Elephas maximus indicus: one gene and its partners. The protein of the gene in region 2 purifies or fractionates together with the protein of the main gene of each other region. This does not show direct contact. Links are inferred from orthologs where the notes say so. Each region holds a gene or a part of one and is shown on either strand. Other genes may lie near its edges.

Evidence for each region.
Region 1: the proteins of VTI1B (region 2) and STX6 purify together in Homo sapiens (affinity purification with mass spectrometry; 3 studies listed by BioGRID and IntAct, counting the BioPlex papers as one, with this or other methods). This does not show direct contact. The link is inferred for Elephas maximus indicus from reciprocal best matches to the Homo sapiens genes VTI1B and STX6.
Region 3: the proteins of VTI1B (region 2) and VAMP4 purify together in Homo sapiens (affinity purification with mass spectrometry; 4 studies listed by BioGRID and IntAct, counting the BioPlex papers as one, with this or other methods). This does not show direct contact. The link is inferred for Elephas maximus indicus from reciprocal best matches to the Homo sapiens genes VTI1B and VAMP4.

Annotation. Positions count from the first base shown.
Region 1 is NC_064842.1:44,143,129-44,150,765, forward strand, and holds the start of STX6 (syntaxin-6), read right to left. Parts: upstream 3,069-7,637; 5' UTR 2,719-3,068; coding exon 2,684-2,718; intron 1-2,683. UniProt on the Homo sapiens protein: SNARE promoting movement of transport vesicles to target membranes. Targets endosomes to the trans-Golgi network, and may therefore function in retrograde trafficking.
Region 2 is NC_064828.1:80,026,236-80,033,864, forward strand, and holds the start of VTI1B (vesicle transport through interaction with t-SNAREs homolog 1B), read right to left. Parts: upstream 3,044-7,629; 5' UTR 2,749-3,043; coding exon 2,634-2,748; intron 1-2,633. Other genes in the region: RDH11 (retinol dehydrogenase 11), read right to left, coding at 6,785-6,887. UniProt on the Homo sapiens protein: V-SNARE that mediates vesicle transport pathways through interactions with t-SNAREs on the target membrane. These interactions are proposed to mediate aspects of the specificity of vesicle trafficking and to promote fusion of the lipid bilayers.
Region 3 is NC_064821.1:211,690,955-211,698,147, forward strand, and holds the start of VAMP4 (vesicle-associated membrane protein 4), read left to right. Parts: upstream 1-4,139; 5' UTR 4,140-4,323; intron 4,324-4,731; exon of another isoform or gene 4,732-5,274; intron 5,275-6,281; exon of another isoform or gene 6,282-6,325; intron 6,326-7,193. UniProt on the Homo sapiens protein: Involved in the pathway that functions to remove an inhibitor (probably synaptotagmin-4) of calcium-triggered exocytosis during the maturation of secretory granules.

The DNA of each region.
Region 1 (7,637 bases), on a different chromosome or scaffold from region 2:
AACCAGGGCTCCTTTCAAGGCCTACTAAAAAAAAAAAAAAAAGGAAAAACATTACCATTGAGTGGTTTCTGACTCATAGTGACACTACAGGGCACAGAACTGCCCCATAGGGTTTCCAAGGCTGTAATCTTTATGGAAGCAGACTGCCACGTTTTTCTCTTGCGGAGTGGCTGGTCAGTTCAAACTGCCAACCTTTCGGTTAGTAGTCAAGCGTTAATCACTGTACTACCAGGGCTCCTTCGAGACCTACTACTACCTCCAGACAGTTTTTCCAACCACAACAATTTCTAGTGAGTTGCCTTTCTCTGAACTCTGGGGCACTATTCTGCAGCAATCACTTCAGCACTTAATCATCTACTGCTTGTCATTTCTACTTAGTTTGGGAGTAAGCTGTTTCCCAGATTAAACTGTAAACTCCTAGGCTAAGAGCCATAACTTAGGTGACTTTAATTTTTCCACATTGCATAGTACATTTTCAACACATTTAGTAAATGGAGGTACAAACCAAAAAAAACCAAACGTGTTGCCATCAAGTCAATTCTGACCCTATGGAGGTATCAAAAAAAAAAAAACACAAAAACCAAACCCATTGTCATCAAGTCAATTCCCACTCATAACGACCTTATAGGACAGAGCAGAACTGCCCCATAGGACTTCTGAGGAGTAGCTGGTGGATTCAAACTGCCGACCTTTTGGTTAGCAGCCAAGCTCTTAACCACTATGCCACCAGGGCTCCAACGGAAGTACAAGGCTCCCCAAATATGCCATCACACAAACAATTTGGAGACACCCATATGGCTGACTTTACCTTTCCACTGTAGAAGGTATCGAGTCTCTTTTCCTTCCGACTACCTTAAGAGCAGGAGCTAAAATGATATACTAAGAAATGTCAACCAAAACTCCAACCCAACGTTCCAATAAAGTAGTGATACCCTATCAATGAACAAGCATTGGTAGACTGTATTGGATACGATCAGGGGGAAATGTCAGGGTGGCAAAACAATTTAGGGTTTTTGCAAATTCCATTAAAAATCAAACAAAAAAATCATCATCTTTGATCTCCACTGCCAGTGATAACTTTTGCAACTTAGGCATTAAAGACTTTCAAAGAAAAACACACAGTTTAAAAAATTTTAAATTTACCCCTAAACCAATCTTTCTAGTAAACAACACATTCTCCGGGTAGAGAGCCACATATTTTTAGTAAGTCTATAACTCAGTATTTCCCCACCTAAATTAAAGTAAGGGGAAGAAAAACCTTTCTAGGAAAATGGAAAGTAGTAGTATGAATGAATTATATTGTACCGTTGATAATAAAGTGTTTTACCTAAACAAACCCCTTGCCATCAAGTCGATTCTGACTCATAGCAACCCTATAGGACAGAGTAGAACTGCCCCACAGAGTTTCCAAGGAGCACCTGGTGGACTGGAACTGCTGACCTTTAGGCCAGCAGCACAGCACATAATCACTACGCCACCAGGGCTTCCATTTTACCTAAAGTACTACTTACATATACTGAGAATAAAGGATAACAGGGCCTTCAAAAACAATGAACACCCAAGCAACTGGTTAGCTTTAACCACTACGGAAACAGGAAGCTAGTAACAACTGGTTGAAAGCAAGGGGGTACTTGATGGTTATTAGTACTGATCTTGCCGGACCTTTGTAGTTGTCAGATTTTTGTTGTTTAAATTTGACATGTATAACATAGAGCTGACAAGTTATGAGAAATAAGTTACCATATCAGAATCAGATCTTTCATGTATCTGTTTAATGGCCATACAGTTGATAAAACAAAGTGAAATTTAAGTTTCTGTCTCCAAAGATGGAGTCCTGACAGCTAATAGGGAAAAATAAAGTAAGGCAGTTCCATTCTGAAAAGCAGAAGAAGAGGTGGGGGGAACCTGTCAAACAGCCTCGTTGAAATCACGGAGTTAAAAGAAACCACTCATTTCCTTTAGCAGTGTGGGAAAATCCCGGTTGCTAATAGAGAGCTGAAAGTTTAGTTTGGCTGATTTCATTTTGTTTTCCTTCCAACACCATCACTGGGTATGAACGACTGTTTTCCTCTCATCACGTTGCTCAGTAAAAACTCCCCCAATGAATTGAGCTGTCTTCCGGTGCAAAGCTCCCCAGTCTCGCACATCAACACCCGCCCCCGCCTCCCTCCCTCCAAACGTGCTCGGCCGCCTCTGGGCAGGTTGTGGTGTCACCGGTCTGCGGGCGAGCGCTCCAAACTCAATGGACAATGGGAGCTCACCCCCGTCAACGCTAACTACAAAGCTCAGGAGGTCCATTTCCCTTTTCCTGCCCAGATGCTGTTTTCCCTCCTTCGAAGCAGAGTGCCAAGCTCGACTACCACCCCTGTTTTAGCTAGGGCCTGTGCCTCTCCCCACCTGCAGCGCTGCTGAACCCCCTGACGCCAAGAGAAGTTGTATTGCAGCGAACAGGCCCAAGGGAGGCCCCTACCAGGGGCTTGGATGGAAGCGCAGGTTTCACCGTCCAGGTAGGGCGGGGAGGGGGTGTCTCTGGACGCTTGGTCATGGCTCTCGAGGCTAAGCCGTCCCCACTGTCCCCTCCCCAGCCTCAACTTGCTTCCCTCCCCCTACAGCCAGGGGAGCAGAGAAGTGCAGGCAGGCAGCACAGCCGCCCCTCTGCACTAGAGCCCTCGCCGACACTCACCCTTTCACCACAAAGAAGGGGTCTTCCATGGACATGGCGTCCCGGCCCCCGGCCGCCTCACGCTTGATCAGAGCACAGGGCGCCCGCGCCCTCCTGGCCTTCCTCCGCCCAATCCACCGGCCTCCCGCAGCCGCCGGCGCCTCGGCCTGGAGGATCCAGAGCAGCGAGCGCGCGCGCAGGAGCGGGTGCACCGGACGGCCGCAGGTCCAGCGCTCAGTCGGCGTCGAGAAGCGAATCCCAGACTCTGGAGCCGGCCCCCGCGGCAGCCTCCTCCCCGGGCTCCTCCCGGCGCGTCCGGCAGGCCTGACCCCGCCCCGGGACCCTTGGTGGCGGCCAACCACGAACGCTGCCCACAGCACTACTTCCGCACCCGCGCTCACGTGTCCAAGACAAGCCCCGCCCCTCGTCGGCGGGGCCAGGGCAAAGCGTCACACGACCGTGGAGGCGGGGCTCTGGGGGGGCGGAGCAAGGGCTGTTTTCTCAGGCTTCTACCCTCCGGCTGAGGGGGAGGAAACGTTTGTACCCATAGAGAAAGGCAGGCTTGTTTTCAGAGTAAGCAGTAGTTGTGTCTCATCCTCAACAAACATGTTCATATACATTATCTGGCTATGATAATGTGACACAATTTGTTTATGTAGGTCTTACCTCGTGTCAGGCAAGTGTTAAAGGCTGGATATGCGTTATCTCAATATACTTGTGGCGAAGGTAATATTCCCATTTTGTAGATAAATTCAGAGAGGTTTCAAGATTTGCTGTGGTCTCACAGGCTGGACAGATTCCGTACACTATCCACCAGACTGGGGTGTATTTTGCTGTACATTCTGCAAATGACCACATAGGAAAAAATTTTCAGACAGCATATGGTGCTTCCTAGGAGAGAGAGGCTTTGAGGGGCTAAGAAAATGCCAGGTGTATGGCAACTTCCTCTCAACTGTGGTTCCAGAGCTCTTTCAGAAGGAATTTGGCCAAACTATTAGGCAACTTCATACGGCAGATATGCTACGAGGTTTGTGGAGGGGGATTGTGGAGCCCTGTTGGCACAGTGGTTAAAGAGTTCGGCTGCTAACTGAAAGTTCGGTGGTGGGAACCCACCAGCCATTCCAAGGAAGAAATCTTGTGTAAAGATTTACAGCCTTGGAAACCCTATGGGGCCGTTCTACTCTGTCCTATAGGGTTGCTATGAGTCAGAAATTGACTCGACGTCAGCAGGTTTGGGTTTGCTCATTGAACATTTACTGAGTGTGAGCCACTGTCCTTAGTGTTATCTCATTTACTCTCACAATGAGGCAAATACTGTTATTATCCTCATTTTACAGATGAGGAGTCTGAGACACAGGGATGTTAATGATTTGCCAAGGTCACCAGTTTCTTTGGAGATGGCAGAGTCCTTTGGAGCCAAACTCTGTTAAAGCTAAGTTCTCTTATTCAGTTCCTAGGAGTAGATACGGTTCCCAAGGGAGTTTAATGAATTAATTTCTGCGCATGTAATGGGATGCTTGTCCAGGGCACAATGACCAACCACTTACTCCGTCTCATCTGCGTCTGGCCCACTGCTGCCCCAATTCTCTGGGGACATCAGTGCAGGCTGGAAAGGGACAAGGAAGTTCGGAATAGTGACAGATTGGCCACTAGTCCAAAGGGCTAAGAAATAATGAGCACTCGTCTTGGCTCTGGGAAGCTTGGTCTAGTTAGGGCCTGAGGGCAACCAAGGAAATCCAGATCAAACACATGGCTTACGACCAACCAAGAGAGGGGCCTGAGTGCCATATCGATCTTAAAGATTTCCTACGTGACCTACTTTTGACCTGGATAAGGTTAAAATAGCCCTCTCACGCTTGCCCCCGCCTTAACCCATCTGCCTGAGATTGGCCTGAACTTGTGAGTAAACGAAGTTGCTATCTTTTCAATGTTGAACTTTAACTAAGAAACCAAATCCTAGCTTCTTAAAGGGAGGAGTCAGATCGGTAGGCACTAGTCCTGCCAGAATACAAGGATGGAGCTCAGAGATTTGCTCCTTGCTGTTTCTGCCTTTGTAGGGACAGGGAAGAAGAGAAAGGTTTGCTGCAGAGGATTCCAAAAGATTGCTGTGGCCCATTCAGGAAAGTGGTGGGAGTCCAGCTGAGGCTGGCCTGGGGTGCTTCCTGTCCTGTGGCCAGTGTTCTGGCTAAATCTCCAAGTCTCTGCCATCAGGGTAATTGTCACCATGGTATTCTGACCACTCCTTCAGGGTAGTAATATGAGTTTCAAACTACAATCTTCATCTTTGCCACAGAGGTCTTGTAGACCAAATAAAAGAGTAGATTCATTCTGCTCTTAAGGAAAGGAGGCTTGTTATCCAGGCAGTCTGGAAAGGAGGGACTCAGGAAAATCAGATTCAAACAGTGTCATTGTGCCACCCTATCCCCCATCTGCCCTTGCTGGTTAGAGATCTTTGGACCTTAAAGACCAATGCTTTGCCACTAACTGGATTAATAACTATGAGTTTTTTCATCCCAGAGCTCTGTTTTGCGAGGATTTGGGGCATATAAGACTTTGATTAAATGTTCTCAATGGGAGGCCAGGTGACCTGGAGTATCTACCAACAGTGAATGGACTTAATAGAACAGAAATGATGTGTTCAAATGATAAAAACATAAACCATGGAATCATAAAACTTCAGTAATTTGGAAAAAAACCTACTAATTATAATATCTAGTAATAAAAAGTTTTTTGGGGGGGGAGTAATAAAAAAAAACACAAACCATTGCTGTTGCGTCGATTCCAATTCACAGCAGCCCTGTAGGGTTCCCAATGCTGTAATCTTTGTGGAAGCAGACTACCATATCTTTCTCCCTCAGAGCCAATGGTGGGTTGGAACTGCCGACCTTTGGGTTTGCAGCTGAGCTCTTCAGTTGTCGTTAAAAAAAAACAAAAACCTGTTGCCGTTGAGTCGATTCTGACTCATAGCAACTCTATAGGACAAAGTAGAGCTGCTCCATAGAGTTTCCAAGGAGCACCTGGTGGATTCAAACTGCTAGTTAGCTAGCAGCCTAACTCTTAACCACTATACCACCAGGGTTGTGTTGTTGTTGTTGTTGTTAGGTGTTGTTGAGTCGGTTCCCACTCATAGCGACCCTATGGGCCACAGAACAAAACACTGTCCAGTCCTGCACCATCCTCACAATTGTTGCTATGCTTGAGCCCATTGTTGCAGCCACTTTGTCAATCCATCTCGTTGAGGGTCTTCCTCTTTTGCGTTGACCCTGCACTTTACCGAGCATGATGTTCTTCTCCAGGGACTATATCCTCCTGACAACATGTCCTAGTTATGTAAGACGCAGTCTCACCATCCTTGCTTCTAAGGAGCGTTCTGGTTATCCTCTTCTAAGAAGTCCATGGTATATTCAATATTCTTCGCCAACACCACAATTCAAAGGTGTCAACTATTCTTTTGTCTTTCTTATTCACTGTCCAGCATTCGCATGCACATGATGCTTGGGTCAGGTGCACCTTAGTCTTCAGGGTGACATCTTTGCTCTTCAACACTTTGAAGAAGTCCTTTGCAGCAGATTTGCCCAATGCAATGCATCTTTTGATTTCTTGACTGCTGCTTCCATGACTGTTGATTGTGGATCCAAGTAAATTGAAATCCTTGACAACTTCAATCTTTTCTCCATTTATCACGATGTTGCTCATTGGTCCAGTTGTGAGGATTTTTGTTTTCTTTATGTTGAGGTGCAATCCATACTGAAGGCTGTCGTCTTTGATCTTCATTAGTAAGTGCTTCAAGTCCTCTTCACTTTCAGCAAGCAAGGTTGTGTCATCTGCATAACGCAGGTTGTTAATGAGTCTTCCTCCAATCCTGATGCCCCATTCTTCTTCATATAGACCAGCTTCTCAGATTATTTGTTCAGCATACAGATCAAATAGGTATGGTGAAAGGACCCAACCCTGACGCACACCTTTCCTGACTTTAAACCACGCGTTGTCCCCTTGTTCTGTCCAAACAATTGCCTCTTGATCTATGTAAAGGTTCCTCATGAGCACAATTAAGTGTTCTGGAATTCCCATTCTTTGCAATGTTATCCATAATTCATTATGATCCACACAGTTGAATGCCTTTGCATAGTCAATAAAACACAGGAAAACATCCTTCTGGTATTCTCTGCTTTCAGCCAGAATCTATCTGACATCACCAGTGATATCCCTGGTTCCACATCCTCTTCTAAAATCAGCCTGAATTTCTGGCAGTTCCCTGTCAATATACTGCTGCAGCCGTTTTTAAATGATCTTCAGCAGAATTTTGCTTGCATCTGATATTAATGATATTGTTCGATAATTTCCACATTCGGTTGGATCACCTTTCTTGGGAATAGGCATAAATATGGATCTCTTCCAGTCGGTTGGCCAGGAAGCTGTCTTCCAAATTTCTTAACATTGGCATAGACAAGTAAGCACTTCCAGCGCTGCATTCATTTGTTGAAACATCTCAATTGATATTCTGTCAATTCCTGGAGCCTTGTTTTTCACCAGTGCTTTTTTTTTTTTTCCTTCAGTGCAGGTTGGACTTCATTCTTTAGTACCATCGGTTCCTGATCATACGCTACCTCTTGAAATGGTTCAACGTCAACCAGTTCTTTTTGGTATAATGATTCTGTGTATTCCTTCTATCTTCTTTTGATGCTTCCTGTCTCGTTTAATATTTTCCCCATAGAATCCTTCACTATTGAAACTTGAGGTTTGAATTTTTTTTTTTTTCAGTTCTTTCAGCTCGAGAAATGCTGAGTGTGTTCTTCCCTTTTGGTTTTCTGACTCCAGCTCTTTGCACATGTCATCATAATACTTTTTTTTTACTTTGTCTTGTGGAGTCACCCTTTGAAATCTTCTGTTCAGTTCTTTTATTTCATTATTTCTTCCTTTTGCTTTAGCTGCTCCACATTCAAGAGCAAGTTTCAGAGACTCTTCTGACATCATT
Region 2 (7,629 bases):
TTTTGAAAATAAATTCTTAGGGAAAGAGATTTAAGAGTAAAAACAAAACTCACCAAAAAATATGAAGAAAGTTGGAATAATTAAAATTCTGCTGTCAGTGAGTAATTGGTGTCTACCAAGCTGCTGCATATGGTACTCTATAGTGATTTTTTTTCTGTTTCCACGTATTAGTGTCATAAAATTACTGAAATTTAAGTAAATTGAAAAACTTTCAATAATTTTAACACGAAAACACGTGGAGACACACCTTCAGGTGCTACAAAACTGAAACTAGAAATTATAGCTCTAGGCACTTAACATATTAACTGTATTAAGAAATTTTACAGCACTCTGAGGTATCTGAAGCCTGGTGATGTAGTGGTTAAGAGCTACGGCCACTAACCAAAATGTTGGCAGTTCGAATCCACCAGCCATTCCTTGCAAACCCTACGTGGCAGTTCTACTCTGTTCTATAGAATCAGAATCGACTTGAGAGCAATGGTTTGGTTTGTTTTTTTTCTGAAGTATTTGGAGAGACCTCTTCAGACGTTGCAAAACCAAGACTAGAAATTATGGCTGTAGGTGCTTAATACTGAGTGGATTAATAATTATCATATACGCTAAATGGACTGCAAAGCCACACAAACATCCTAAAACAGGATACACCGTGTCTGCCATTCTTCAAAGGCAGAAACTGAATGAAGACTGTACTTGGGAAAGTAAAGATCTTTTTTGTTGTTCTAACAGGTGCATATGTCCATTTTAAAAGTAATAAAAATATGGAAAACACAGTAGAGTAGAAATAAAACCACGCTTTTTCAATACCCAATCATATATTAGCATCTCCTTCCCAACAGTTCACAGTATACATTCAATCCTTCATGTATTTGTGAAATTCCTACTATATGCTAGACGCTCTTCCAAGTGCTTAAGACACATGAAAAACAGACAGACAAAATATAAAGCTCGTGTTCTAGCTCGGTGGCTTTCAAACTTCAGCGTGCATCAGAAATTCCCTGGAAGTCAGGTTAATACAAATAATCTGCCCAAGCCACTCTGGGGCAGATTATCCAAAAAGCAAGGCAAGGATGGTGCTTACGAGATCATCTGTAGGGAACAATTTCACATGGGTTTCGCCACATCAAACCGGTGGTAAAACCCATTGGAAGTTGTTTACTACAGATAGATTAGTAAATATGCACAAGTAAGGCCATGCTTACCTTCCTTACTGGGTCATCCACCCCTGTCAGAGATTGTAAATTTAAGAAGAACCTTTGATTCTGTAGGAAGGTGCTGTGGGGTTAGGAGAGAGATACAGATGCCAGCCATAGCTAGAAGCAGAATCTTTGATGTTGTGAAAAAGTGTGAAATTGTTCATTACAGATGATCTGGTAAGCAAGGTATGCACAGTGCTTACCTTGCCTATTGGATAATCTGCCCCTGCAGCCACCCTACTTAAAATCACTGCTTCCCTCACTATTCCTTTACTCTGCTTTATTTTTCTGTACAGCTCTTAATGCTGCCTGTTATTACCAACATCTGGACAGTGCTTCTCAGTAAATACTTGTTAATCAAGTACATGAATTTCATCCCCACTGTTGGCCCCTACTCATGGGGATCCCATGAACAACAGAATGAAACACTGCTCGGTGCTACACCGTCCCCATGACAGACTACAGACTGGATCGTTGTGATCCATAAGGGTTTTCACTAGCTGATTTTCAGAAGTACATCACCAGGCCTTTCTTCCTAGTCTGCCTTAGTCTAGAAGCTCCACTGAAACCTGTTCAGCATCAGAGCAACAGGCAAGACTCCACTGACAGATGTGCTTGTGCATGAAGTGTACTCGCTGGAAAATCCAACCGGGGTCTCCCGCATAGAAGGCGAGAATTCTACCACTAAACCAACGCCTCACTCATTCTCAGCAGAGACACTCAAAACAATACACAAAGTCTTAGCCTTGATGCCAACAAGACCATTCTGGCAAGCCAGGTCTGCCTATAGATTTAACTAGAAAATTCCAGTTCCTCCAGGCAGAGCTTGCAGCAACCTGAATCGTGAAATCAAGGGGCAGGGGATGGTCTAAGCAGACAGAAATTCATTATAGGAACATGTAAACTCCACCCTCCCCGGCAAAAGAACAACAGAAACTGGTATTTACCAACTTCCCCAAATAACTCTCAAATTTATGACTCCTCTGCGTTTTTAACCTTTTTCGAGCCACGTATCCTTTGCCAATCTGATGAAAACTGTGCATCTCTCTTAAAGAAAATGTTTTAAACCGCATAAAACAAAATAGTTACAGAAAAAGAACAGTGCTACTAAAACACAGGACTGTAGGTTTAAGAACCCCTGTGATGTTAATTGCCATAGTGATAAACATAAGGCGAGAAATTTTTGAGAGGGCCACGAGAAGATCAAGAGAAAGGATCTCAGGGAAACGACACTTTGAGGCCCATCCCTGAGAACGTCTCCGACCCACCCGAAATGACAGCAGGGATATTCAGGGCGCAGTGACCCTGCCAGGACCGGGGGGGAATGTCTGTGATGGGGCGCAGAGAGAAGAGAACCCAGGTCTGGTACAAGGGTGGGGGCTCTTTCGCCAAGAGCGCGAGGGGCCAAGCTCCCACAGGACCGGCCCGCCCCTGCCTCACCGGTTCCCGCCGTCCCCAGGAGCCGCTCGGGCACCCCTCGTAGGTATTCATGGAGGCCGCGGAAGATCTCGTGCAGCTTCTCGAAATGCTCTGAGGAGGCGGCGGAGGTGGCCATGGTGCAAACCGCGCTTGAGCAGCGGGCGCCGAGATTCTGGGTGCGGGGCCCACTCCTATTCCACCGGTCAACCACCGAGCCCCGCAGCCATCACTGCGGCCGCCGCCCCCACCGCCCAGGACGAGGCGCTTCCGGGGCCAGCAGCGGGGTCCTCCGGAGCCGGAACGCCCACTCCCTCTTCCCCATCGTCCTGCGAGCGCCAGGAGTGAATGCCTGACGGAAAAGCCGGCGAGCTGCGCAGCCCAGACGGGTGCCGGAGGACCAGTGCCACACCGGGACGAACCTCAGTCCCCGAGTCCCGGAAATACCCGATCCAGGGTTGGGGAAAGCGTCACAGTGGAAGGTCCCGGGTAGACCTGCTGGACGGGCAGCAGGGCCAGCCTTCCTCCCGGGCCCCGCCGGCTGGCGAGGGGCGGGCGCTGCAGTGCATGCCGGGAGCTGTAGTTCGGCGTGGGAAACGCTCCGACTCAGGCGTGACGCGTCGTTAGAGACGGGCGGTTCCGCCAGGGGCGGCTCCTGACTCTCAGGGTTTGGTATCCGGGCGTTGTCTTCAGCGTTATCGCACTTCACCTGCTATCCTGCCGCTCTCGGGGTACGTCCTGACTAGAATTTTAGCTTTCAGCCCTCGAAAGCTTTACCTTTGCCGGTACAGCACTTTCACTGAAGAGGTCAGGTGACTTATGGCAGGGTCATATGCTTTCAGAAGGAACCCGGACAATGTGATCCTGAAGTCTGCACTCAATCTCTAACGGCTGTGCTTGCCTAGTGCAGCAGGCTGCCGGGTACATACGTTCACTCCACAGGGGGTAAGCGAAGGCACTGTGCAGGGATTTGGGCATAATAAGTTGGTGAATAAAACGAATTTACTCTCTACTCTTTAGTACTTTATAATCTGGTGGGGAAGTTGGACCTGGCTTCATCAGGTCTCGTCTGCCACTAAGAGTGGATTTTAAATGTGTTAATGTAGTTCCCCGCACTCCATGGGCATAAGGAAATACTTTATGGGTACAAATGGTTCAGTGGCAGGAAATTCACTGATTTCATGGTTTGCCTACGGAGCACATTCTGAAATATTTAAACTGCCCATGAACATTAAAAAGCTTATGAATGTTCAGGGGGAAATGATTTGGTGATTTATATCTCTTAGATCCTTATTTTAGATTGAGTTCACTGGCCACTGATTCAACAAGAGCTCCTGATATGCACTGAGCACAGAGAAATGACAAAGTCTGAGGTTGTTGGTGGCACTGTACTGTAGTAAGTCTCACAATGCTGTAACATATTGTGCTAAGGGAATAAAGGGGCAGCGCAAAAAGGAGAGACTACAGCCTGGGACGATAAGGAAACCTGGGTAAAAGTGATTTTTAAACAGTGTTATAAAAAATAAGTGGGAATTGGATGAAATGAATAATCAGATGATCACAAAACGAAAATTAATGGCCACTTGAGATTGTATTGTAATTAAACTCTGGAACAAATTATCCTTTAGGATGAGAAATGGTTACATAACTATAATAACGAAAAGTGTTTTTTTTTGCTTAATTCTCAGAGTTTTTATTTTGGTAAATAAAAACATGAAAAATAATCAAAAAATTTTTATTTGCCACTGACCATTCAATATAAATAAGATATTAATTCAGTTATTCTACTACACTATCATCAAAAGATTTCTAGCTTTTCCATAATATGACCCTTTCTACTTATGTAGTTCAATGGTCTCAAAACAATTTCAACCAAAAATTATTAATTTACAAACACAGTCATGCATCACTTAACACCCATGATACAATAGGATGTTATGTGATTTGATCATTGTGTGAACACCGTATTATATACAGGCAGTCCCCGGATTACAAACAAGTTCCGTTCCTAAGTGTCTTTAAGTTAAATTTGTACAACTTAAAGTCAAATTTGTACATTAAGTTGGCACGGTTAGTTATGGTTTGTATCTAACATCAGTTAGTCAAGTGTTTGTCATAATATATAGTCTACCTTTCTATGGATAAAAAACATTAAAGAAACACTTCCAGATACACTAAAACATCTTTAACATAACAATAGAGTAATAGTAATGTTTTGATGTGCATTGCAAAGTAGCACCCATGTGTTATTACGAATCACTGTGTACCTCAAATTTTTAATATAATAGGCTTTACAGGGGTTGTTTATAACCTAGGGATGATAGAAAGTACAGTGTAGTACATACATAAGCCACTAACACAGGCATTTACTATGACTATCAAAACATGTATTAGAGGTTATATATGCACTGTACCATTATACACCTGGCAGCACAATTGCTTTATGTACAAGAGACATGCCATATACACATTGTGTGCAGTAAGCTGTTGCACTGGCTATGTCCAGTTATGTTTGCTACGTCCCGTTCTCCGATTGGGATTTCTCAACTATTATAATCTTATGGGACATATATGTGGTTGGACTTTGCCCAAATGGACATTATGTGGCGCATGACTGTAGTAAGAAATGAAGATTGTGGTCCTATAACTATTTTCATCCACCAAAGTTAAACATATAAATTATCAGTCCAAGAAAGTCACAAATTCTGTTGCAGTATCGTACTCCAAACAAGTGATAGGAACATTACCAATTCCTCTGACTTCCTTTGGCAGCATTTCTTTTGATAAAAGTTCTCCAAATACAGATTTTTTTTTTAAACAAATTGACGTTTTAACCTTGTCAAGATAATGTAAGGAAATGTCCTAAAATTGGATGTAGTCACCAGTACCAGTTCTTAAGATAATTTTTCTGTATAGGAATTGGGTATTTTTTTGGTTTTGTTTTGGGTTTTTTTCCTGCCACACTGTTTGACTGGTGCTAGTTAAGACAGCACCTCATCAGTCTTGCTAACTTAGGTGCTCTCTCAATTCTTTTACAGCGTTTTCTTGTTCTTGTTGTTTGTTTGTTTTGTATCTTCAATTAGTCCCTCCATTGCTTGCATTATCTCCCAGGATGCTTCTTTTTTGGACTTCTTTCCTGTTATCCATTTGCTTTTCTGGTAGGTAGTTACCAACATATGCAGGGTCTGCTTTGCTTTGCAGCTCTACCCGTTTGCATTGAAGACCAAATGAAGTGGTTTGCTCCATCTCTGATCATTTACCTGCACCAGGGCTCAGTTTAATACTATTCCTCTATGGCTGTTTTGAATTTTGCGCAAATACTCCCAATTGCATAGTTATACAGGAACACACACAAAGATATATTCAGTTAAGAATGACCAAATATCCGTTCCCTCCTTCTAGTTTTCTAAGCACAGAAAGGAGTCAGTAACGAAAATCAGGTGGCCTGTCTTTTCATACTGTCCCCTTTATCCTCTCCTTGCTGGTCTGAGAAACTGCAGAATGACATTCCAAACTTTACCTTTATTTCTGCCACCCCCCAAATTAAAACCAAACCCCACAACCTTCTTAGAAAAGGCAGTTCTACAGTGTAGATGTGGGAAAGTGTCCTAACAAGAGTGGCTCCAGGTTGTCAGAGATCAGGCCACGCCTTAATCCAGATTCAGTTAAGAGTTTTCTGAAAGACTCTAGATATTGGTGCAATGGTGGTTTAATTAAAGAGGTGAGAGATAATCCCTATTCTTTAGCCAAGCCACTGTGACTCCTGGGGTTGAGCTGAGGCTGCAGTGTGGCTCTCTTGAAGTGAAGATTGACTGGTTGGCAGGGACTACATAGTGAATAAAGACGGTAGAAACTAGTCCAAATTCCCATGAGTCAACCCTCCCATAGCTTGGATTCTTCTAGGTAGTAGGTTTCTGATGGAAAAGATGAGCTGTGCAGGTCCTATGAGGGCTTTCTCATCCTATGACATCTCTAGTAACTCTGGTAATATCAGGAGCAAAATCAGCCTAGACAAATGAAAAGCATTTAGACAAATCTGGCAGTGTACCAGGCTTTTACTGGACATCAAGCAGGCAAGGCTGGAAGGTTTTGCTCCCTTTTGGCCACCTAGAAGGAGAGTCGCTTTGACAGCAGGTGCTGAATAGTCCGCTCTTAGGTCTGGCTGCCACCACCTGTCAGTCCAGTGGGATGCCCAGGAGGTCACAGCTGACATCCCACAGCCGCCGTGCTACTGTCTCATTTCGAGCCTGGGCAGAGACCCGGGCCACCTGGCAGTCACTGAAAAAGAAAGAGAGGGGCGTAAAGCACAGTGTGAAGGATGGAGTCTGCTCTCTGCCTGGGTTAAGGAATAAGACAGAAAAACTACCCAGGGATGAGACCTAGGGAAGAAGCACCTCTAGGTGCTTCACAGGGTTGGTGTCTGTCTTCCTTCTGAATGCTATAAAATAGTTCCACTTATTTTAAGAAAGTCCCCATTAAAAGCAGGAGGGGTATCCTAACTCTGACCCACCCAGAAAATTTCCTTAAGGATGATCCTCTTACTCACGTTTGTATTCCCTGAATCTAGTACAAGTATTCAATGAATAGGGTTTGTGTCTTGATCCTCCAATCATTACCCCACAGAAAATATAATTACTATTTTTAGACCTCCTCACTAGACAGGAGGAGAATGTTTTGTTTGATACATAATGCATATCATTTAGTCTTTATAGTCCTCTTTGTATATACATACCTAATCATTGTATCAGTGTCTGACACCTGTGTGTGTCTGCCTTTTTCAAATTAAGTCTGTAAGGTCCATTCTATAGGGCCTTGTACAGTGTCATCTAGCTGCGATTCTGCTATTTGCACAGGTCACCAATGCTTACATTGGGAAAAAAACACTTTTTGTTTCTAGCCTACCTGCAGTTATAGAACTGTTTTTAGGCTAGTATGACAAGTAAAGCCAGCTTCATAAACAACAAAATAAAGAAAAGGTAACAGCAGAAAAAAAAAGGTTAACAAGGTACCAGGTGTTCCA
Region 3 (7,193 bases), on a different chromosome or scaffold from region 2:
CTACAGAACAGAGTAGGACTGCCTCATAGGGTTTCCAAGGAGCTGCTGGTGGATTCAAACTACCAACTTTTTGGTTAGCAGCCAAGTTCTTAACCACTGCGCCACCAGGCCTCCATAACTACAAGTACAATATTATTTTCCTATGAAAACTAAATTGATAAAGGTGAACAATAAAAATCCATACTAATGGAAGATACTTACTGGTACACCAGTGTTCATAGTAGTGTTATTCACAATGGCCAAAAGGCAGGAACAACCCAATTGCCCATCAATAAATAAATGTACAGTGAAACATGTGAGAGCTGGAACTAGAAGGGACTGCCTTGTTTTTCTGGGTCTCTTAAGTTTTTTGCCTTTGATAATCTTACCACTTTTCTGTATGAGTGGAAAATATTTTAGTTTTCCTGCTCTGACATGTTTTTGCTTTGCACAGATTCCAGTTTTCACAGGTTTTACTGTATAAACAAAATGTGGTCTATACAGAGAATGGAACATTAGTCAGTCATAAAAAGGAATGAAGTTCTGAAACATGCTATAACATGAACTTTGAAAACATTATGCTAAGTGAAATAAGCCAGATATAAAAAAAAAATATCGTATGATTCCGTTTACAGGAAATACTTTGAATAGGCAAATTCTTAAAGACAGAAAGTAGATTAGAGGTTACCAGAAGTTAGAGGGGAGGAGAGAAGGGGAGTTTATTGCTGATGGGCAGAGTTTTGCTTGGATGATGAAAAAGTTTTGAACAACATTGTGATTTCTCAAGTAATGACACTGAATTGTATACTTCAAAATAGTTAAAATGGCAATTTTGTTTTTCATATTTACCACAATCAAATTTTTATAGAATCATTGTAGAATTATGTATGGGTAAGAAAAAACTGTAAAACTTTAGGAAAAATTGTACAAAATCTAGACAGACTTTGCACTCAAATTGATTCAGCGGTGTCTTTGTTTTTGCTCCGCTTTGAAGAAAATGAAACTAGAAATTGTAAACAATGCAATTTGTAATAAAGACAATGGGATGCTCGAACCAGCAGATTCCCGCTTGGTTAAAAAGTCTTGGCCCTACGCCAAAGACTGGTGCACCCCGGCCCAGGTTAATACATGAGGTCTCTAAGTACAGTGTGCCCACTTCACTCACACAGAAGGAGCCAACTCAGTATGAAACATCTCTATTTTATGCTCAGATTACATAGCTGACACGACGTTTTCCAGGGAATCATACCCTTCAAATCCACCTGGGTTCCTAACGCATTTACCACAAACGATCCTAGCCCAGGGGCATGCTGCTAAAGGAAGTCCATACACACGGACTCTCTTGCTAGCAAATGCCATTTAAGAAGTTTAGGTTGCATCTCCTGCTTGCTTGCCGATCTGCTTAACTCTTTCCTTCTCAGTCACTTAGGGACGAAAAGTGATCTTCCACTGTCGATTTACATTTGAGGGATGGTGAACTTTTGTTTATATGCTTATAATTGATTTATATTTTTGTGTTGGATGAGATACGATTGCAACAAAATATTAAAAGCTGGAAAGTAGACGAATCAGTGGTGATCATCTTATTAGACTTGAGAAACACGACTCCTAAGCAGGCCATGAAGCAACCCGATTTATACAGCAAAATTAGAGGACCAAGATCTGAATAACTGGAGTTCAAGAAAGAGAAGATAGGATGAAATAATTCAAGTTGGTAAGGCTGGAACCTAGCACTAACTCCAAAGTTCAGTACTATTTATACCCTTTCAGGATGAGTATATATATTTGTTCCATATTAACTGTAAAATGACACTTTCAAAGCTTTCACGAATGTCAGGGATAGTCAAAGGGACTTTGTTCAGGTGAAAAAAGGTTGGGGCTTGCAGTACTCACCCTTCCCCAAAGAATCATACCCAATGATTGGCAGGATTAAAGAATTATGGTGAAAAAATAAACTAATAAACAAAGAGTGGATCATTCATAGAAGCTATGCAATGACATACCCCCACTGCTCAATAATCATATAACATTGCCTTAAGTTGACAGAGTATGGGCTGAGGGTATAATTGGCTAAAGCTATAATTGGCTGAGGCACCAAAGCAAGAAAGCCCCAATAGACAAGCAGATAAACCCATGAAAACAACTAATCTAATAAAAAGAACATCTGTATGGAAGCCCTGGTGGCTTAGTGGTTAAGAGCTACAGCTGCTAACCAAAAGATTGGCAGTTCAAATCCACCAGGCACTCCTTGGAAACTCTATGGGGCAGCTCTACTCTGTCCTTTAGGGTCACTATGAGTTGGAATAGACTCAGTGGCAATGGGTTCTTTTTTTTTTTTTTTTGGTATCATCTACAGAATCTGGGATAGTCTCACCATCATGCCCAGGCAAAGGAACTATGAGAGGCTTCCGTTCAGTCTAAGTCAGCCTGGTTCTCAAGCAGTAGACTCACAGGTAATGTGTGAGTCTAACACCAGGCTTTCAGGAGCTTCCACCTACAATGCCGTGGCTCACTGTTTCTCACCAATCAATCGGAATCTCAAAGTAGTGCCTGGGCATAAGCGCTTTCTAAAGCTCCCTGGTGATTCAATGTCACATGATTCACCTATGGGTTGAGAGTCTTTGCCCTAGACAATGCATCTTTCAATTTGTTGGTGCATTTTTAAGTCAAAGCAAACACCAACCAAAAGAGCAGCTGGTAAGAGGGTGTCTATTCTTTCCTCTCTTTGTGTCCCAGAGCTTTCCTCCTCTTGTTGTCTCCTCCTTCTTAGACATTCATCCTTATTTTTATGATGTCTTTTTAAAGTGCCTGGCACAGCATTTCAGATCGTTAAAACACAGTATCAGCAAATGACCCATAGATAACTTAAAAAGATGTGTAGTAAACACATGACAGGAAAAAGGAGTAAAACAATCCAGCTGGGCATGTGTGGGAAGAATGGATAAATAAAACAAATAATAGAGAGCAGAGACAACATTAGTTGTTTGTATTAGTATATCCAGCTATTGCAGGCATAGAGGTTTAAATATGACATGAAATGGGGAGGGGAGGAGGTAGTGAACAGAACAGGCATGGTCACCCAGAGGTGATTTCCCACCTGAAACCTGAAGGCTCTACCGTATGTTTGGACTTAATTATTCTAGGTTACAACTAAGATACAAACTGTCTTAGTCATCTAGTGCTTCTATAACAGAAATACCACAAGCGGAGGGCTTCAACAAAGAGAAGTTCATTGTCTCACAAGCCAGTAGGCTAGAAGTCTGAATTCAGGGTGCCGGCTCCAGGCGAAGGCTTTCTCTCTCTCTGTCTGCTCTGGAGGAAGGTCCTTGATGCATCAATCTTCCCTTGGCCTGGGAGCATCTCAGCACAGGAACCTCAGGTCCAAAGGACACGCTCTGCTCCCAGCGCTGCTTTCTTGGCTTATGAGGTTCCTGTGTCTCTCTGCTTGCTTCTTTTATAGCTCAAAGGAGACTGGCATAAGACCCTATCTAATCTTGCAGACCTCATCAATATAACTGCCACTAATTCATCTTATTACATCAAAGCAATAGGGAAATCACATCAGATGATAAAATGATAGACAACCATATAATCATACAAGGGAATCATGATCTAGGCAAGTTGACAGATTTTGGGGGGCGGGCACAACTCAACCCATGATAGAAGGGAGAGAACACTGTCCAAACTAGCTGTGTGAGCTCACAAGTCTCCTCTTTGAACCACAGACTCCTCATACCTAAAACGAGGAGACCCGACTAGCAACCCTCAGCATCTGTTGCCAGGTCTGACTCTGATTCTATGAACAGGGATCAAACGGACTTCCTTCCCTCACAAAAGGCCCTACACAGCCCGAAGCCTTGGGCTGCGAGCCATCCTCCTCTTACTACTCGACTTCCTTTGCGGAGGCTGGGGCGACCCTCTAACCGCATCATCAACCTCAGTCACGAGCACGCCCTCGGCGCCCCACTGCCGCATCCCCCGAGCGCCCTCGCGCGAGCCTGGTCCTGGCTGGGACCTAGAGACCCAGTTGTTCCTCCCCGGAAGTATGCTGTAGTTCCGGGATCCGGGTCTACGCTCGGGCGGCCACAGGTCTGCCCACACAGAGGAGGACCTAATCGACTCTCTCGACGATCTTCGAGTCCTGGCCCCGCCCCCCCGCCCGGCGCCAGGCCGCGGAGCGCCGATGGGCTCGATGAGCCGGGGGCGCCCTGCGGCGGAGCGGCGGGGGACGGGTCTGCGGCCGCTGCCTCGGGCTCCCGCCTTCCTGCCTGCTGCCCGCTCCTTCCCCCGCCCGCCCGGCAGAGCCCGCTCTGGAGAGCCGCCCGAGCTCCCCCACAGCCACAGGTACTGGCGCCGGCGGATCGCCACGGGGGGGCCGGCGTTGGAGGAAGGGAGCGGGGACGACGCCCCTGCCCCGCCTCCCCCAACGTCCGGTCGGAGCGGGCCCCTGGCCGGGGGCGGGGGGCGAGGGAGGCCGGGTCCCGGGGGGCGAGGGGGGGGCGGGGGGCGGGGGGCGGGGGAGGCCGGGGGGCGAGGGGCGAGGGAGGCCGGGACCCGGGGGGCGAGGGGGGGCGGGGGGCGGGGGAGGCCGGGCCGCCGGCGGGGGGCGCGGGCGGAGGGGGCTGAGGGATGGGGGCCGGGGTGCCGCGGGGAAGGTGGGCGAGCCCTGGGGTGTGCGGATGGGGGCGGCTGAGAAGAGGCCCGGGCCCTGAGGGGTGCTCTGGGGGGTGGGAGGACAGCAGTGCCTGGGACGGGGAAGGCTAGGCGGAGCGGGCGGAGCAGGGAGGCCGGAGGCAGCAGCCGCGGTCGGCGGACGGGGTCTGTGCGGCCCCCGGCTGTAGGAAGGGCATGGAGCTGGGGAGAAGGAGCGTCAGCCCTGCGGCGTTTGGACGACGGGGAGGTGGCGTCGGTCATTCACGCTTTGACAGGTTTTGTGACTGGCGTCTCCAGGCTCTGTCCGTCCGAGACACTTTATTTCCGTGAAACTGCACCCACCAAGCCTGCTGACGCGCGAGGAGGGAAGAGGAGGCAGGAAGGGAGTGGAGGCAGAGGAAACGGAAGCCTCTGCTCGGATTCAGGCTTTTTGCCAAGTGAAATACATAGGGTTTTTGCATAAGGCAAAAAAGAAGCCAACATTGATTAAACAACGTGTTAGAAGTTTATTACGTGTAAAACCACTGAATAGGGAAACCACTGGATAGAGAACGTGCCACTTCTTTAAAAATACATATATTAAAATTTCAAGGTACGGCGATGGCATAGGAAGCATATCCTGATGTGACAGTTTTCAGTGAGGTTAGTGGTTGTCTGTCCTAAGTGTTGCAGTAGGTCTTGAAGGCGCTCTTATTTCATATGTACCTAGGCACAAACACCTAATTTCCATGGACTGTTTTGCCGGTGAAATCTTAGAATATGTGCCAGTCTGATTTCTGCGCATGGCTCATTTCTACTGGTTATTTGGTACAAATGTCGTCAGTTGCCCTGATGTATCAGTGTAGCTAATTAATGCCTCCTCCTTTGCTCATGGCTTTTCTGTTTGGCAGACACTGGTTTCTTGCTTTCATGAGCCTGATATTTGGATTATCACACCTGGAAATCATGTTTGCTCATCATTAAACTTGTGGCTTTACCCTATATTTCATAAAGATGTTATGCCAGTCTGTTGTTTGCTTTGGGATGTTGAGGCAGCCCGTTTGTAGGATTTAAAAGGTAAATAAGCACAGGTGTGCATACCTGATATGTATTTATATATATATGTATATGAAGCACCTCAGATTCTTCAGTTGCTTCCTTTGTCATCCATTTTTCCATGCATTCTGAAACATTTCTGCATGAACGAATCATTCTGAAATCAAAGTATGATAAATGGCCAGAGGTACTGACAGAAATATTGTGGAATGAAGAACTCTGCAAGAGTTTGGTTGTTTCAGGTGTTTAAATTCCTACTTCGGAAGCATTTCTTATCCAAGAAAACTGTCTGTGACAATTTATTTTGACAGGAAGCTGATTTAGAATATTAACTTTTATTTGGTTTACGAAAGTGGACTCTGACAGCATTTGAAGATTTTAGAGGCGTTTCTTCTTGTGGGGCTTTTCTGAGGGCTACCTACTGGGTTGTTAGAGGGAAGGCTGCCTTTCTAAAAGAATTTTATAACCTGGTGAGCAACCAATTGAGTAAATATTGAAAGTGATAATGCACAGCCTTAGACTGGTTTAAGCTGATATTTCTGCTATTTAAATGAGTTAAGTGACTAACACTGTTACTTATTTCTAGTAAGCCTCAATTTTCTTTTAATTTCCAGTGCCTGCTTTGAGGGAGTGTTGTAAGGATTAAAAGAAAGTGCAGGTAAACACAGGAGCAGAGTGCCCAGCACGTAGTAAAACATTTAGAACATTTTAGGTGCTCTTGATAATCACCTCCTAAGCCGAGATTCTGAAATCTCGTATTGCGCGTAGGACAGCTTTTTCTCACATAAATGTTGACTATGTTGCATACCCAGGCATTTTTCTGGAAAGTCACAGTGCATATGAGCGCATTAAAGGCTGTGGGAAGTTCTGTAGCAAACAAAACTGCCTTCATTTAACCCAGTCATTACCAAACTTGTCCTGTGCCTTGAATGTTAGAGTTTGCGGAATGTTTTTGCATGTATTATCTAATTTGATCATTCCAACTCCATGCAGAAGCCTAAAAATCACCATTTTACAGAAAAGGAAATGGAATCTTGTTTCAGCAGCTAAAAGCGAGAGAACTAAGACTTCCACTGTTTTCTGACTCCAAGTTAAAATCTTAGAGTCATTATGTTTTAGTTTCAGAGGACCACTTCCTATTTTTCCCTTTTCCGGGACTATTTGCTCTTTTATTTTGCAAAAACCTTAAGTCACTCATTTCCTCTACCCACCCCCCCAAAAAAAAAACCAAACCCAGCGCCATCGAGTCGGTTCTGACTCATAGCGACCCTACAGGACAGAGTAGAACTGCCCCATAGAGTTTCCAAGGAGTGCCTGGCGGATTTGAACTGCCAACCCTTTGGTTAGCAGCTATAGCACTTAACCACTACGCCACCAGGGTTTCCTCATTTCCTCTACAAGTGCTCCTAAGGTTTTAGCTATTTCCCATGGTTTTAGCACCTCATACATGTCGAGGCCCAGCATGAGAGGGGAGTAGTCAGAGTCAAGAGAAGTGAGGCTTACATCCAAAAGTCTCAGATCTGATG